Cricetulus griseus: one gene and its partners. The protein of the gene in region 2 interacts with the protein of the main gene of each other region in a pairwise test. Links are inferred from orthologs where the notes say so. Each region holds a gene or a part of one and is shown on either strand. Other genes may lie near its edges. The genes, in order: Zbtb8a, Rad23a, Ngly1 and Mindy3.

The links.
Region 1: the proteins of Rad23a (region 2) and Zbtb8a interact in binary tests that used the Homo sapiens proteins (3 or more experiments, as listed by UniProt). The two-hybrid records come from large-scale screens. The link is inferred for Cricetulus griseus from reciprocal best matches to the Homo sapiens genes RAD23A and ZBTB8A.
Region 3: the proteins of Rad23a (region 2) and Ngly1 interact in binary tests that used the Homo sapiens proteins (3 or more experiments, as listed by UniProt). The two-hybrid records come from large-scale screens. The link is inferred for Cricetulus griseus from reciprocal best matches to the Homo sapiens genes RAD23A and NGLY1.
Region 4: the proteins of Rad23a (region 2) and Mindy3 interact in binary tests that used the Homo sapiens proteins (3 or more experiments, as listed by UniProt). The two-hybrid records come from large-scale screens. The link is inferred for Cricetulus griseus from reciprocal best matches to the Homo sapiens genes RAD23A and MINDY3.

Annotation. Positions count from the first base shown.
Region 1 is NC_048595.1:23,662,395-23,667,506, reverse strand, and holds the start of Zbtb8a (zinc finger and BTB domain-containing protein 8A), read right to left. Parts: upstream 3,097-5,112; 5' UTR 2,724-3,096; exon of another isoform or gene 2,635-2,723; intron 1-2,634. UniProt on the Homo sapiens protein: May be involved in transcriptional regulation.
Region 2 is NC_048596.1:159,533,445-159,536,556, reverse strand, and holds part of Rad23a (UV excision repair protein RAD23 homolog A), read right to left. Parts: intron 2,857-3,112; coding exon 2,695-2,856; intron 2,553-2,694; coding exon 2,371-2,552; intron 2,246-2,370; coding exon 2,190-2,245; intron 2,052-2,189; coding exon 1,924-2,051; intron 1,705-1,923; coding exon 1,626-1,704; intron 1,539-1,625; coding exon 1,405-1,538; intron 1-1,404. UniProt on the Homo sapiens protein: Multiubiquitin chain receptor involved in modulation of proteasomal degradation. Binds to 'Lys-48'-linked polyubiquitin chains in a length-dependent manner and with a lower affinity to 'Lys-63'-linked polyubiquitin chains.
Region 3 is NW_023276807.1:173,735,215-173,739,526, reverse strand, and holds part of Ngly1 (peptide-N(4)-(N-acetyl-beta-glucosaminyl)asparagine amidase), read right to left. Parts: intron 1,583-4,312; coding exon 1,468-1,582; intron 1-1,467. UniProt on the Homo sapiens protein: Specifically deglycosylates the denatured form of N-linked glycoproteins in the cytoplasm and assists their proteasome-mediated degradation. Cleaves the beta-aspartyl-glucosamine (GlcNAc) of the glycan and the amide side chain of Asn, converting Asn to Asp.
Region 4 is NC_048596.1:220,000,053-220,004,364, reverse strand, and holds part of Mindy3 (ubiquitin carboxyl-terminal hydrolase MINDY-3), read right to left. Parts: intron 3,876-4,312; coding exon 3,802-3,875; intron 2,657-3,801; coding exon 2,577-2,656; intron 1-2,576. UniProt on the Homo sapiens protein: Hydrolase that can remove 'Lys-48'-linked conjugated ubiquitin from proteins.

The DNA of each region.
Region 1 (5,112 bases), on a different chromosome or scaffold from region 2:
GTGGAACAAGCATGGAGAAGGCGTGGGGAGAGCTATGTCTATAATGCCAGCTGAGCTGGGTGGCTGAGGCAGGGAGGAGCAAGTCCAAGGCAGCCCTAGGCCACTCAGAAAACCCTCATCTCAAAATAAATTTACTTTAAAAAAAAATGTGGCTGGGCAGTGGTGGCGCATGCCTTTAATCCCAGCACTCAGGAGGCAGAGGCAGGCCGATCTCTGTGAGTTTGAGACCAACCTGGTCTACAAGAGCTAGTTCCAGGACAGCCTCCAAAGCCAAGAGACAAAAAAAAAAACCAAAAAAAAAATGTGGCTGGCACTCGGGAGGCAGAGGCAGGTGGATCTCTGTGAGTTGGAGTGAAAGACCCCGCCCCCTGGCTGGTTCTCTCTCGGTGACACTCCCGTACGCGCGCACACTCCCACACGCCTGGCGGCTGGCTCCCTCCCAAGCCGGTTCACCCAGGCGGGGGGCCCTCGACCCAGGCCCGCCCGCCTGGCGCCGCGCCCCGGGGCTGGGGCCGAGCGGGGAGAGGACGCCCCCCCCATGGGGAACCTCCGTCCCAAGGTCAGCCATCTGGACGCGGAGGGGGGAATTGGGTCTGTTGTACCAGGTGCAGACCTTGAGAATATACTGATAACTCTGTACCTCATTAAATTGTCCAATAGAATCCCTGTAACTATGCTTTTCGCTTCTGCACTGTGCTTTTTAGCTATATAAGGACCCCTCTCCCTTGGCTCGGGGCTTAGCCTACCCAAAAGCTAAGCCCCGGGGTACCAGCGCTACTAATAAAGCCTCTTGCTCTTACATCCAGAGTTCGTGGTTTCGCTGATTCCTGGGTGCGGGTCTCCTTCTACGAAAGTACCTCTTCTGAGGTCTTTCAGGAAGCCAGTCTGATCTATAGAGCAAGTGCCAGAAGAGGCTCCAAAGCTACAGAGAAACCCTATCTCACAAAACAAAAACAAACAAAAAAACCAAAAAAAAAAAAATGTGGCTGGATGGTGGTGGCGCACCCCTTTAATTCCAGCACTCCAGAGGCAGAGGCAGGTGGATCTATGAGTTCGAGGCCAGCCTGGTCTACAGAGTCAGGAGTTCCAGGGCAGCCGGGGCTACACAGAGAAACTCTGTTTGAGAAATAAATAAATAAATAAATAAATAAATAAATAAATAAATAAATAAGGAAGGGGTCTGGGAATGTATCCCAACAGTAAAATATTTGTCTAGCGTGTGCAAGTCCCTGGGTTCAATCCCGAAACACACACACACAAACACAGTGAGCCCAGTTCCTATAAGGCCTTGAAGACTATAGGTCTTCTGAGCCTTTGGGTTTTTTTGGTAAGATGTGGGGGTGGTTGCCATTTAAGGCTTGGGGAGGGTTGGGCATATGGTTCATTAGTCGAGTGCCTATGTAAACATGTATGAAGTCTTGGGTTCAATTCCAGCACAGATTCATGCCTGCAACCCCAGCACTTGACAGGTGGCTGTAGGAGAAACAGGAGTCCAAGGTCATCACAAACTATATAGATTTGGGGCCAGCCTAGGCTACATAGGACCTTGTCTTCAAAAGAAGATACTTTTTAAAAATCAGGGAAAATTTAAAAAAAACAACAACAACCTTATATCAACCCCTTTGATATTAAAGAATATAATTATGCCATTAAAAGATTTAAGACAGACTGAAATTCGACTAGTTCATCCCAACCCTCCCGAGGTAGAGATAGAATCAAAATTTCAAGCTAGCCTGAGTCCAGCTTAAAACAAAATTAAATAGGTAAATGGAAGTAAGCCTTAAGTGATAAAGATCAGTGAAGGTTTTTGGTTCTTGGAGACTGACTGCTCCAGGAGGCTGCTGGAATAGGAGGGCTGGAGAAGTTGTCAACACTCCCTGTCTAGGGGTGAGATTCCGTGGTTAGAGTCTTTCCTTTGCAAGGGAGAATAAACGGCCTGAACAGGTAGTTGTCTTATAAGAAATCAAGTGAACTATTTCATGAAAGCGAAACCACTCCATTTACTAAAGTCCTGCAAACATAAAGACTTCTAAGGTGTTAGCGGTGTGTGCGGTTGGGTGCCCGCTAGGTGTGAATCCCATTCCAAACACGTCTCGGAAAGACGTGGAATACTGCTAACCGCACGGTCAAGGGCGACTAAGCGCGCCAGAGCGCGAAGGGACCAAACCAGATAGTGTCGCCAGGTGGGAGATGCCAGGGACATTCTCCCGGGAGCCAGCTGGGGCTCCATATTCCTGTCCTCGGTTCTAAGCTCGGAACCGTCGTGTCGTGTCGTGTCGTGATCGAAAGCGAGAGGGCGGTGGGTGGAGTGAGAACGCCGGGCGGCAGCGCCCCGCGCCCCGCGCCCCGCGCGCCCGCGCCCCGCGCCCTTCCCCCGCCACGGCGCCCGACGGCTGCAGACACGCCCCGACTCCGTGGCGCCGCCTCCCTACCGCCGCCGCCAGGAGGCTCCGGCGCCTTCCCGCCTTTCCGGGGCCGGCCGCGGGCGGGGCGCGGGCGCGAGCGGCGACGACGCAGCCATTGTCCCGCAGCCGCGCCCGGGCCGCCGCGCCGCCGCCCGTGCCTCCTTTGTGGCCGTCGCCGGCCCCGGAGCTCTCCCCGAAAACGCCTACACACCGGGGCGCACCCGGCGGCCTCGCCGCCCTCCGCCAGGCTCTCGGCCGGGCCCGCAGCCCCGACGCCCCGGCCGCCCTCTGCCCGCCCGCGCCCTCGCAGCCACTTACCGCGGGGCTCTGGCCGCTCGTGCTCGCTGCGGAGTAATTCCCGGTTCCCGGTGGGGGAAGCACCCCCTTCCGAAGCCGAGGCTGTGCGCCCTAAAACAAGTAGCCCCAACGTGGGAGAAACAAAAGGTATTTGCTGACGTGGGCGTTGGACAGAAACGCCCGAGGGCTGAGGACACAATTAAAGGGGCAACGCACAGATTTCAGGCACCAACCAGCAGCTTCGCCCACTCCCCCTGTCCGTGCCCACACCCGGCTGCACCCTCCGCAGGCGCTGGGGCGCCCAGATTCCCCAGCAGTTGACTGCGGATCATTCTTTTAGTCGCGAGCTTAAATTTTAAAATTGTACTTTACGTTGGGAAAGGCGCCTCCGGAGGGCAGAAAAAGGGCTAGGATTTCTAAGATGTGGGGATATTGGTTTAAGGACAGAGGGAGGGACTTAGGCGTGCCCACAATTACTGTATAAGTACATATGACATTATTGTTCTTAAGTTTAGCAACGTCAAATGGAAGAGATTTCCACAAATTTCCTCTCTTTATCGAAGCACTTATTCTAGTCAGGGATAACCCTTTAGAAACCTTTGTAGGTCCCCTTCAGACCATTTGAAAAGGCAAGCCCAGAGAGGCTGAGATATTGAGAACATGATTTTATTTTGTGTTTTTGTTTTTCAAGACAGGGTTTCTCTGTGGCTTTGGGGGCTGTCGTGGAACTAGCTCTTGTAGACCAGGCTGGTCTCGAACTCACAGAGATCTGCCTGCCTCTGCCTCCCGAGTGCTGGGATTAAAGGCTTGTGCCACCACCGCCAAGCTAAACTAAATTAATTTTATATTTCCTCATATTAGTTGTTAATTGCTGTGAAATAGTGTATTATGATGAAATGGGGGGAGACTCAAATCTTCAAAGCATACATTTAATGTTTTTTTGAGGGGTTCCTCTCCCAAGTCTTAGTTGGGCCTATTAGGGTCTTGTTTCTTCGGTTTCCTCACCGATTAGCTAGAACAAAACATTTGGTCTTTCCTGAATATTATACCTGTTTACTCCAGAGTTGCTTTGTGATTTAGATGTGTTTCTTTACCTTTTGAGGTAATGGAAGGAAAAGTAGCCAGAAGCTAGTTTGAAAATCCTTACCACACCTTTAATCAAAGCACTCCAGGAGGCAGAGGCAGGCAGATCTCTGAGTTAGAAGCCCTCCCAGGACAGCCAGAGCCGCATAGTGAGACCCTGTCTTGAAAAAGAAAACCGTTATGGTTCAGCATTGCTGAATATGCTCAAGCTGTTCTAACATTCCCATTGAAGATTTATCCCAGAAAGAGCTGGACATTATAGTAGCTTATTGCAGCACTGGAAAGGCAGAGGCAAGCAGGTCTCTCTGTATTCAAGGCCATCCTGGTTTACAAAGAGAGTTCCAGGGCAGCCACAAGGAGACCCTGTCTCAAAACAAAAACATTCTGCTGCCAATTAAGCCAACCAGGAAGGTTCCTTTGCACCCTAGGGGGCCTGGCTTGCAATGCTTGCAAATAGCAGCCTTTTGTCCATTCCTGCGTCCAAGAGGAAGTTGGAAACAATTCTCCAGCGGCTATTCATGTCTCTGATCTGGAAGCTAGCCCTAGTCTACACTCCAGACAGGTATGTAGGGGAGCCCCAGGGCACACTGGCCACGGTTAATTTAGGCCAGGTCATCCTGTCAATCCAAACCACATCTCAGAGCAGAGGGGCCCCACCAAATGGAAAGCAGGTGAATTTGAAGGGGGAAAATGGTGTGTGTGTGTGTGTGTGTGTGTGTGTGTGTGTGTGTGTGTGGTGTGTTTCCTCCACTCTAAATGCCATTGCCACCCTGAACTCCTGGGCTCGCTCTATCATCATTGTCTTGTTCAACCACCCAAGCAGCTGGGAAGCGAGGTGTGTGCCGCTGCGCTGCGTCTGGCCAAAGGTTTTATTTTTAGTGTTAGTGAATTCAAACAGCCAACATAGCCAGGTGTGCTGTAAGGCCAGCGACTGGCAGATGTAAAACTGGAGGGCCCGGCAGGCATTCCAAGCTAGCCTAGGCTATACACCTGGACCTTTCTCCAAAAACAAGTGAGCACATAAAATAGAACAAGTCTGTAAGCATGCTTCTAGACAGACCACATAAGGTTGCTTGCTGATGCACTGTATTCCGAGGAGAAAGAGTTTTCCTTTCATCTTCATCCTCCTGACTTCAGTTGTTAGACCCTAGGAAAGCTGAGGCTTCCAGAATCTTAGCCCAGGACCTCGGCCACCCCAAACACAGAATGGAGGCGAAAGCTCGATGCAAATTGCATGAGGCTTTATTGTAGTTTAACGAGCTAACCCCATGTTAGCTCGGGTCTTTGATAGCACCCACCATGGCAGATGGCTAGCAAAGACGGCTCC
Region 2 (3,112 bases):
CTTGGGAGGCAGAGGCAGGTGGATCAGAGTTTAAGGCCAGCTTGGTCTACAGAGGAGTTTCAAGCTAGCCAGGGCTACATGGTGTCTCAATTAAATGTCTCAATAAAACAAACAAACAAAGAAGTAAATAAATATACCAAACCTAGGCATGGCAGTTCATTCCTTTAATCCCAGCACTCAGGAGGCTGAAGCTGGAGGATCACCATGAGTTTGAAACCATATAGTTCAGCCTAACCTATATAGTGAGACTGAAGAAAAACAAAAAGTTCAAATCAAATAATTGCAGATATGCTAGTTAAATCACTGAGGCCTTGTGGGAGGGACCCACTGTCTGGGGCAGGAAGAGGGGGGCTTGCCTCTGGCTAAAACAAGTACCAAGTGAAAATGCCCAGGGGTGGGAGAGCTCAGTGGCACGAACAGCACAGAAAGTCTGGGAAGACCTTTCTCCTGTGGCAGTGGGAAGCCACAGTGGCAAACAAGGCAGTGCTGCTTGGGTCCTTCTCTTTGTGGTGTTGCAAGTAAACCCAGGTCTCAACCTGCTAAGCACAAGCACTCCCTACTGAGTAACACTCAGCCTGTGCAACCTTTATCTTTTTTCTTTCTTTTTTGAAATGATTTCACTATTAGAAGGAGCTGTCTTCAAGTTCAGTGATCCTCCTGCCTCAGTCACCTAAGTGCTGTGCTTACAGGTATGCACTGTCACACTCGGCTCTAGAATCTATTAAATACACTCTACTTGGAAATCCAGAGATTCTGAAGCAACCGTTTGTTTCTGCAGACTTCTGACTATTTTCACATTAAAAAGGGCCTTTTCAGCAATCTAGCCTCTTGGTGGGCAGTTCACCAGGGGCACTGTGCAGAATTAGGAGACATGAGAGGAGGGTGCCAGGATACTGGGAGGGAGAAGTAGCTGCCATAGGGGTAGAAACAGAGAAACAGTCCCCACAAGGCTACCAGAGGCTCAGTGCAGAAATACAACTAGAATCAAACGGGCCTAAGAACTCATCGGTCCAGGAAGTCCTCTCATAGCTCAGATGAGAGGGTTCCAAGGGTTCTGGTGACACAGGTTCAGATAGGTCACCATACAGAGGGTCAAAAGGTGAAGGTCAGATCAAGAAGGCCAGGACTGAGGAGCAGGAAGGGGAGCAAGCACTCAAAAATGCTGTGACCAGAGTCCAGGACCCAGACATACGGCAACCTGCTCTGGGCCTGACCTTCAGCAGGTGGATGTCAATAACATCCATACCTCATGAGAGTCCAACTACACATAACCTTGCCGTCATCAGGGAGCAAGGGGCTGGGCCTGTGCTAGTTCTGCTTTCTCAGAGCAAAGCTATGTCCCTGGGTGATCCCCTAAAGAACTAGAAAAGGTGTCTGTCTCAGTTCCCTCACCCTGGGCCGCACCTGCAAGAGCTGAGGGTTCTCCTGGCCCAGTTGCTGGAGCAGTGCAGGGAGCAAGGCTGGATTCTGCTGGATCACCTGCCGCATGTTCTGGAACTGGGGCTGGTCCCGCAGGAACTCCAGGGGGTTTTCCCCTGCTGGTGGCAGGAAGAGGTGTGGTGAGAGCCCTGCAGGGCTCCTGTGTCTACTGTAGATACCCACATGTGCAAATCCATCCTACTCACCTGCTTCCACGGCCGGCTGTTCTGGTACCTGGCTCTCCTGAACAGAACCATGTTCCGGCTCAGGACTCCCGGGAATTCCCTGTCAGGGATCCTGCTTTTTAGTTCTCTCCAACAGACCCACTTCCCCCTCCCAGTTGATCAGCCTGACAGGAGACAGGAAGGCCTCATGCCTGCCTTCCACACTCTCGTACAGCCTCTTTGAGAAGCCTTCAGTGGCAACACGTGATACCCATGAGCCTATGGGGTAGGTTCCACCTCCATTGCCTGTTGAGGCACCAAGATCTGGAGACTCCCTCACCGTGAGCAAGTATTCCACAGCTCTGTGGGGGTTGTTGTAGCTGGCCCTCAATGCGGCCACAACCCGCTCCCGCTCGTAGCCCATGGACATGATCTCAGTCAGCATCGTCTCATACTCAGAGCCAGTCACTGTGGAGGGAGCAGCAGGGCCTGGGTCACCAGGGGCACAGAAGGGCTGCTCCCAGACCCTCCCATACCCAGACAAGGCTGTCAAAGGCGGATGGCTGGGGCTCCCAGTCGCCTCTGCCCTGAGGACCACCCACCCACCTAATGTGGAAGCTGCGTCTTCCTCTCGCCCGCTGCTACCTGAAGAGGGAACAGAGCTGCAAATTCAAGAGAGAGAAATCGGACCCTGGCTTCTGGTGGCTTGCCCTCCCCACAAGTGCATGGGACCACACTGGAAAGTGCAGAGGACAGGGCACAGGTAAGGCTACTGCCCCTTCCTTACCCAGAGATGGATTCTGGAGATGTTGCAGTAGCTGATTCCTCTGATGGGCTCTTGTCCTCTCTGCTGGCAGGTGGAGGATGGGACATGCCTGATGTTGGAGCCGGAGGAAAGGGTGTGGAGGACTCTGGGGCAGCAGTGGGTGAGACCTCTGGGGGTGCTGGGGTACTTTGGCCAGCCTTGGCCTGTGGCAGCAAGAAAAAGGGATCAGGCAGCAGCATCCCTATCAAGCCTCAACATCCTGCCCCATCACAGCCCCACCCTGCCTATGGCTAATCTCTCCTGGGCACACAAGCCCTTTGCCAGCATCCCAGCTAATCTACCCACCTTGGTCACCATTACAACCACAAAGTTCTTCTCATCTATATGGTATTCCTTGATGGGGACATCATCATTCAAGATCTTGCCAGCATAGATGAGTTTCTGTCCAGCCACAGGGAAAGCATCTCTACCCTTCTCAGCCTCTATCTTCTCCTTCAGCACCTTCACCTGGAATAAGGAGTACAGGCATTAAAAACACGGCTTTAATAGTGTGATGTGTATGTTTACACATAGCACTAACACTCTAAGATACCCTCAGTGAAGTCTAGGCATGGTTGTGCACACATTGAATCCCAGTACTTTGGAACGACAAGTGGATCACTTTGAATTCCAGGCTAGCCAGGACTATATAGTGAAACTGTCTCAGATAAAATAAAGACACCTTTCCTGACCCTTTTACCTTAGGGGAAAAGCTTTGCTCTCA
Region 3 (4,312 bases), on a different chromosome or scaffold from region 2:
GTTCAGTCCCTAGTCACTTGGCAACATGGCCTATAGCCATGATGGTGGGACCATGTGGAAGAGGAGGCATCTCTAGTTAGACAGGAACTATACCAGAGCAGCAATAGGAAGTGGCTAGGGTAAGAGATAGCATCCAAAGGCATGTTCCTAGATATCTACTGCCTCCATTATGGCCCCACCTCCATAGTTCCATCCAGTCTAATTAATCTACTCAAAATTTGAATCCCTCAAGGGATTCTACAATCCATTTAGTCATGGACTTCCTAAACTGTCTCTAGAAATACTCTCATAGAAAACTATCACAACTTCCTCTCTCACTCAAAACAATCTAAAAGTCTTTGAAAGCCTGGTCTCTGTCTACCCCTAAAGTTATTTTCTGGGTCAGAGCTACCTCTGATAGAAGCCCTTTGCACATGCCAATCCTCTGCACCAACTGAGTTTCAGGTACCTGAATGGTATCTTGTTACTTAGGTTCTATCTTTACTTCCTCAGAGGCCTTCCCTAGTTACTTCACTGTACAGTGACTGCATCTCTAACTGCTGGGAGTACATTACCCTGTCTTGTTTTCTTCTTTGCACTTGTCTCTGCTTTCATGTTTTCTAATATATTAGAACATAAGCTCTGGGTGAGATGGGATTATATTAACTTATTTCACTGCTACATCCTTATGGTGTGCAACAGAATTGGGTTAGGAAGGGTAAACAGGAAGGAAAGCACATTCTATTTCTTTAACAAAGTCTATAAATGCTGACTCTGATACTGGCACCTGTAGTCCTGCTCAACTTCCAATACAATGTATCCTATACATCAGAAGTAGCAGAACATAAAAGATTCAAAATCCTGTCTGTCTGTCTTTTAGAGACAGTATGCAATTCAGGCTGCCCTGAACTCACCATCTTCCAGCCTAAGCTTCCTAAGTAGATAAGACTACCGAATATGCCAGCATATCTGACTAAAATTCACAATTCTGATAATTGTGTTTATTGGGTTATCTCTGCCACAGGTTTGAGAGGATGGAAACACTGAACTATTCTTGTGAAATGAAATGATAAAACATCTTGAGATTCCTGTCACAGAAGAAAACCATTCTGTGGGGCAGGTTAACTCATCTTTTCTGTATTTGTTTCACATTTCCTACTTCTTACTGGAGACAATGGTGATACCTTGGGATTCACTGTATACTCACAGAGCCAGTGCTTTCGAGAAGACTGAAGGGACCACATTTGATCTTTGGGTTTCATCCTTTTTATTCTGAATGACTGAGATTTGTAAGAATTCCTACATGACTTCATCTTACTTTAAAAATGTCTAACAGGTTAAAAAAAAATCAAGGCAAAAACCTAGTTCCATACATTTTCAAAATGATCAATTAATTAAAAATACTATTTCATTCAAACAACTATTCACTATTACTGCTGATTGCTTTGCACACGAAGAGGGGGAGGAAACCCTTACACATATACTTACCTCTTCAAAGCCCATTTCAAACAAACACTCAACGGCTCCTCTGACAGGCAAGAGTCTAGTAGAAAAAGCTGTGTTTCCAATACGGATGGATCTGTATTTTTCATCATTGGGGTTTCTGATTAAAAAAATAATAAAGATAGCATAATGGATAATATGTAGCAACTTATCTTTTTAAGAGTTTCTGCACTCCTACATGGCCGTATAGGTTGCAACTTTAAAGAGTGAGCAGTCCAGACAAGCAGTTCAATTTCATGATTTTTACCTCTGTACCACAGGGTACTTCTATTGTCCTCTACTGCAGTATGACAGTATTAATGCTGTCATAGGAAATGGTGTGATATTTTAATTCTGTGCTGTAGTTTCTAATGGAAAATGATGGACAGTAAGCTCTAGGCAGAGGGTAGAGAACTTGGCTTGCTCTGAGGGATCCCATCATCTATAATGGTGCACATGGCACAAAGATTGTGATTAAGAAGCCTTTGTGAACTGAAACACAGTTAAAGAAACTTTGCATGAACGTTAATAGTTACTTAGCTTCATTTTCTCTCTGGACCAATGACTGTTTTTATTGTAAGTTCCGACCTCAGTTGAAAATATATTTTTAGTATGTGAAGTAAGGTAATAAAAGGAAAACATGAATATTCAAGGACAAAGTTTACGTATTTACTGCTTAACTATCATACATTAGTGCTGGTCTACAAACTCTCTTCCATGAGAACTGCAAGACTGAGGGTCAATGATTTTTATAACAATTTGATAATACCATGAGATTTCCATTGCATTCTATAAAATTTGTAGATTCACCAAGGACTGGAAGTTAAAAAAAATTCTTTCCACAAATGATTTCAAAAGCAAGCAATGATTATTGGGAGCTAAGGACAGTTTATCCTCTCTACATTTATTCTATGCATTAGGCCAGAGTTTCTGACAGCCACATCTAGACCACAGCTGAGAGGAGATTCCCCATGCACCACAGAATGCTCAGCATCCCTGATGTCCATGGCATGCCATTTGAAGAAACAAAATTAAGCTATAAAGCAACCCCAATTTTTGTCAATATTAACTACAGATAACTGGGACTTTTTATGATACATGCCACAGGTGATAAACATGTCAGTGCTACCACAATGGTATATCCCAGATTTAAAAGGCAGCTATTTTAACTTCTCCAATAGTTTCTAGGGTTCTACATGACAATTACAATTACTTACTGGTTTTTATCGTCTATAAACAGAATAATGACAGTCATATCTAGTTCCCAGATTCTTTATTTTCTTTTTTCTTAGTTTTACCCAGGCTGGCCTTAAACTCAAAATTCTCCTTGTCTCAGGCTCCTCGTTGCTTGAATAAGTTATGCATGCCCAACCCAAATGCTTTTTTGAAAAAATTAAAAATGCTAAGCAGATTTGCATGAGCTTAAGCATACACTAAGTCTAAAAGTTGGTCCTGTTATGTCTATGGCACTACAGGCATTGACCTTAATTTTGCTTGATTCTCCATCAACTTAATTTTCTCTGCAGATTTTTCTGTTTTTGTTGCCACAATTTGATAGCCCCACATCTCTGTTATCTATTAAATATTTCTGCAAGTTGTAATCTTTATTTCACTTGTTAGCAATTATCTGATATCTTTTCTTGAGACACTTTCTGGATGGTTGGTTTTTGATGATGTTAAAACGATGGGATCTTGAGAAGGCAGCAAAATTCTTTGTACTTGCCCAACTGTCACTTTGAAAATATCTTGTCTTCCTAGTTGTTTTACTCTTATAGTTATCTACCAAATTATTTAATTTTCAGAAAAATAACATTTGTTTTGTATTTGAATCAGGTAAGAAAAGTCAATTCCCCCCCACACACCTTTTTTTGGAAACAGGGTCTCTGCTTAGGAAGAATACAGGATCAATTATTGGCCCCACCTCTACCATTCACTGTTGTTAAAAGCAAACAATGCATACTTATCAAAGCACAGTGGTATATGCCTATAATCCCAAAACAACACCGATGGTCACATGATGAAACTGTCTCAAAAACACAACAAAAATAATTCTCAAAAAACCCACCAGTGAGATACAAGATAAAACAAATAAAAATACATGAATGTGGGGAAAGGACTTGTAGAATAGAGGGGATGATGACAGGGAAGAGAAGGAAGAGCAAACAATGCACTACAACATGTATGAAATTTCAAAGAACAAATCTAATCAAATACTCCACTAAACTTGTAAACTAATTTAGTAATAATGATAATAGATAACCTCGGTGTAGCTATGTATATGCCAAGTCCTTTTTTTCTATATTTTACTGCAATCCTAGATAGAGTATTTTTCTTCCCTTTTATAAGGAAACTCAAACTGGGAAATTATATATAAATTGCTTACCATTACAGATTAAAAGTAGTTGATGAGAATTGAAACTTACTAGTTTTGTTATAAAGTCTAAACATACTCCACCATATAAGCTTCCAACAAACTCACCAACCCTCAACACTCACATTCAATTTCTCTATGTGACAGTGGCAACCTGCATTAAATAATAAAACTACTAGAAGTCTGTTTTATTATTTTGTCTTCTATTATTTCTTGCACTGTCATTACAATTGTGAACCTCTGCCAGTGTCTTTCTCCACTCCATCAGCATTTATGATTATGATTACAAAATTGCTTTACAATTACATTTAATGGTTGTTTCTTCTAATGCTATTCCTCATGAATCTCCACTCCAGAACCATGAGTTTCCTCTGCCTATCACCTCACATAAATGATCTCTGCTACTCCATCCATTGGTCCAACCTGATCAGACCTCTATTCTTTACTCTCTCATGTTGGGTCTCCCTGATACCTCATAAA
Region 4 (4,312 bases), about 60 Mb from region 2:
AGCATATGTACAGTTCAACATGACTCCTTTTGCCACACATTGAATCATCTATGTACAGGTTCTCATCCACCTAAACTATGTGCATAAGCATCTGACAGAGAATTGAGTTTTTCCTATGAGCCTATCTTCATTACAGACCTCTTACTAATAGCCATTTGAAGACTGTATTAGTTTTACATAAAGGGAAATTAAGGAAGGGAAGTAACTTGTCTTGCGTTACTTTGAAAACTACATATTTTTTTGTTTATGTTCCATACTTCCTTACCATGTTATCTAGGCCAGAAATACACAGAGTAAATGTATGGATTTTTATTTCATATTTAAATATCTGAAAGCAGAATTGAGTTCAAGTCAACATTCTTAAAGACTGGGGCAATTCTCTTTCTGAAGACAACCCTATCTTCTTACCATGGCTTAGTTTTGATTCTTAAACTGTACTTTAAACTACCCATAGTGAAATAACAGTCTTGAACAGTACCTCAAGAATCAGAAAAGAATGAATTTGCATATACCAGAAATAAGGCTTATATAAGTGATGAACAGATTCTGTAACTGAGGTAAGACTCAAAATGGTAAGAGCCTATGTACCAAGGGGAGGCAGGAGGGCAGGAGATATGGGTTCTGTAGTATGGTAACGAGAAGGGGGGGGGGAGAGGAGAATGTACAGGAAATTGCACCAGGATAACTTAGTAATGAACAAAAGACTAAAAGTTATGACCACAGCAAGCAGTAGGAAGTAGCAGTGATTGATAGAGGCCAGATGGGAAGAGATACTTAAACCACAGTTCCTTCTCTAGTTATCTGAAATTACAGCAGATACCTCAGAGACCAGGAATCTTTGGGAGGAGGAGAAATCAAAGAAACTGCACAGTACCCATGAGAGACCGGCACTTTAGCTAGCAGAATCACATGCTTTTAGACTAAATCAGAATGGCGAGTCCTTAGGATGTGCTTGTACAGAGCACTGAACAAGACAGCACTTGTGGGGTTCAGTATCCATGCAGTTTGCAAGGCTGGGCTCTTATTCTAACTTCCCCACTAAGGGAGTTACACTGAACACATTACCTAGTGGAGGGAGTCAGGCTCTTCATTTCCAAACAGTACAGTGGAAAGGTGTATTGTGTTCTCTAAATTCTGGGATTCTATAATTTTTACTCAAATTTTTCTTAACACTGTATTTTTCCTATGAAATAGCTATACAAATTTCTAAAATTTGAGGAAAATGCAAGTTAAAAGTTAAGAATCATATAAATGAAAAGCAGTAACATTTTCTCAAATGTAATATACTCTGTTGTTTGGTAACCATTCTATCGAACACCAAATTGGGGGAAAACATAAATTTGCCTACAAACAGGAACTATGAAGCTTCATGTCCTACAATAGACATTTCAGTAAAAGGTTTATTGCAATTATTCCATAAAAGTTAAATGACTACAGAAATGAGTTCAGACTGTCCAGTAATAAATTGAAGGGGATTTAATTCATTACTTTGCATCAGCTCTGCTTAAGGGAATGGCCTGGCTAATGCACTTCATTTGATGTTCATAACAACATAAGAAGCTACTGAAACAAAATAAATGAAACCAGAAATGGAAATGTAGTTGGAAAGGTAAGTAGATAGAAAGCATTAGAAAACAAAATCTGCCCAGCATATTATAGTATATATTAAAAGTAATACAGAGCTGTTGCTGCTATTGATGCATAACATACTGTCATTATTGGTCTGAATTTTTAGAAACTTTAGCTGTGCTGTCAACTTTGGAAAAAAGTATCCCAGTTTACCGTGTTGAGTTGGCATTGTACAAAATTTAACAGCCATATTGGTCTAGAAATGTTGAACTTAATTTTTTTCCATTTGTACAGAGGTAACGCACTGTATTAAATATGTAAGGTCTTAAAAAAAAAAGGGATTTTGAGAGCCCATCCCTTGTGAAGGGATGCTCCCCTGACCTGGACACATGGGGTAGGGCCTAGGCCTGGCCCAGGATGATGTGGTAGACTTTGGGGAGCCCCTTTTGAGGGCTTTACTCTGCCTGGGGAGTGGAGGGGGGATGGCTAGGGGCAGGTGGGATGTTGGGGGGAGGGAGAGGGAGAAGGGATTGACATCTGAAGCAAGCTTGTTCCTAATTACTAATAAAATATAATTAAAAAAGTAATACAGAGAAACCCAGGATACTGGCAAAACAAGTAATCCAATTACTTTATAATCTCCCATAACTCCCAACGCTGAATGCAGAGCTGTCCCTGGATAAGTAGTCATATATTACATCTACTAAGAGATAGATTACTATTTCTAAAGTTAGTCCCCACAGTCCCAATAACAAAACAGAGAAAACCAAAGCCTTGAGGATTCAAGTCTGACCAAGCTCATACATTTGGTACCCAAGACTGCCTGCCTGCTTCCAAAAATCTACACTTTAATGTTATGGTGTCCTGGAAACTATGAAGTTTCCTTCTAATAGAAAGCACTTACCTTAACATCCATATAATGGAGAGCCATTAAATAGATGAATATCAATCTCCCATATTTCACTAAAATATTAATAATTTGAGGCCATAGCAAAGAACATACTTACGCATTCCTGAGCATTCTCTATCACCATCCCATACATTAGAAACTGCATGTCCCGTCAGTAGGAGGTTAATTAAGCTTTGGCTATCAATAAAAATTAAATATCAGTTAAAACAAGCGTAAAACTTGTTCTTCAAATTAAGTAATTCCTACAATAAAGATTTTAATGACTTCTTATATTTGTTATGTTAAAACACGAAATGAGAGGAAACCTTACTTCATTTTTCTATGGCTGGCTATGGTGAAGGTCTTAGTGTTGCCCTACAATGGCATCTGTTACCATAATCATAGAAGCCACAAAACTTTAAGGGCATATTTAAAGGGATAAGTATTTGTCTGTTTACTTAGTATTTACACTTATTTTTATACATAATAATTTTTGGAATTATATCATTTCCCCCATTCCTTTCTTCAATCTCTCCCATGTACCTCTTTGCTCTCAAATTAATTGCCTCTTTTCTCTTGTTGTTACATATATTTACACACATACATACACAATCTCCTAAATAAATACAAACTACTTGGTCTATATAGTGTTCCTTGCATGTGCATGGAACTGGCTGACTACTTGGTACTGGAGAACCAACTGGAACTGGAAACATTACTACCTGGCAATGAAGTCATGTGTCTTGGAGAAGAACCTGCAAAAGCTCACTTTACTAAATCAGCATAATTCTTAACAACATTTAAAATATTTATCCTTATACATACATTCTTGCCCCCGCAACCAATAACCTTGGCTTTGTAATAGATGGAGAACATTATAATTATATTTAATATGCAGTCTTTGATAGAAGATAGGTTAATGTTAACAACTAAAGCAGACATATCTAAAAAGAAGGATGTGTGTGAGAATAGATTAATTTTCACTATTCCATTGATTTTTGGTAAAATAAAGTAAAAAAACTAGAAAAGAGTTGTTTTATCTCCAAAAGAAACTAGCACAGATAGGTAAGAAAATACTTATTTCTAGGTTAATGTGAGTAAATTTAGCTTTTTAAAAAAAATACATAAATGGATATAATAAAGGAGGCTTTGTTAAAAATATCTTGACAAGATACCTGTCATAATAAGTCATGTGTAAACAACTCGAAACTGGATGTTAACACTGGCTAAAGCAATGCAATGCACGCAGCCCAGGGCTACCAAGCCCGACTTGTTGCCAACACACTCATCAGAAACTCTCCTGCTCCTAAGTTCAGTAAGAGACAGCAGACTGCAGCCTTTACCTGCCATGCCCGTACACGGGGTCTATCAAAGGCTCATTTGCATCTTCAATTGAATTCTTTATGTTTTCAATGCCCTAAAGAAACCAAGATTTCATTAACTTCATTTTAAAATAAAGTACAAAGTATGATCAGTTTGGACTATATGTTTATAAAGTACTATTCGAATTACCCAGACTTGAAGTGGGGTTGCGTTTGATATGGTAAGAAGGGAACAACTAGTGTAATGGCTAAAACAGGCAAGGATACCGAAAGTATCAGAATTTGAGGCAGAACCACTGTTGAGAGTGAATAGTGAAAAAAAGTTCATGAGGGTGCAACACCTTAGCCCCTAGCTACCCAATCACCTGACCTCCAAGCACTTTTGGTACCTTACATTACTTAATGTAGTAACTTGTTTAATATTTGGTCAACTTCTGTTATTATTAATTCTTTATTCTATTTGTTCCCTTTCTCTTCCATTCTATTGTCACCATCCTGCTTTAGGTTTCCACTACAATACTATTTTCCTAGT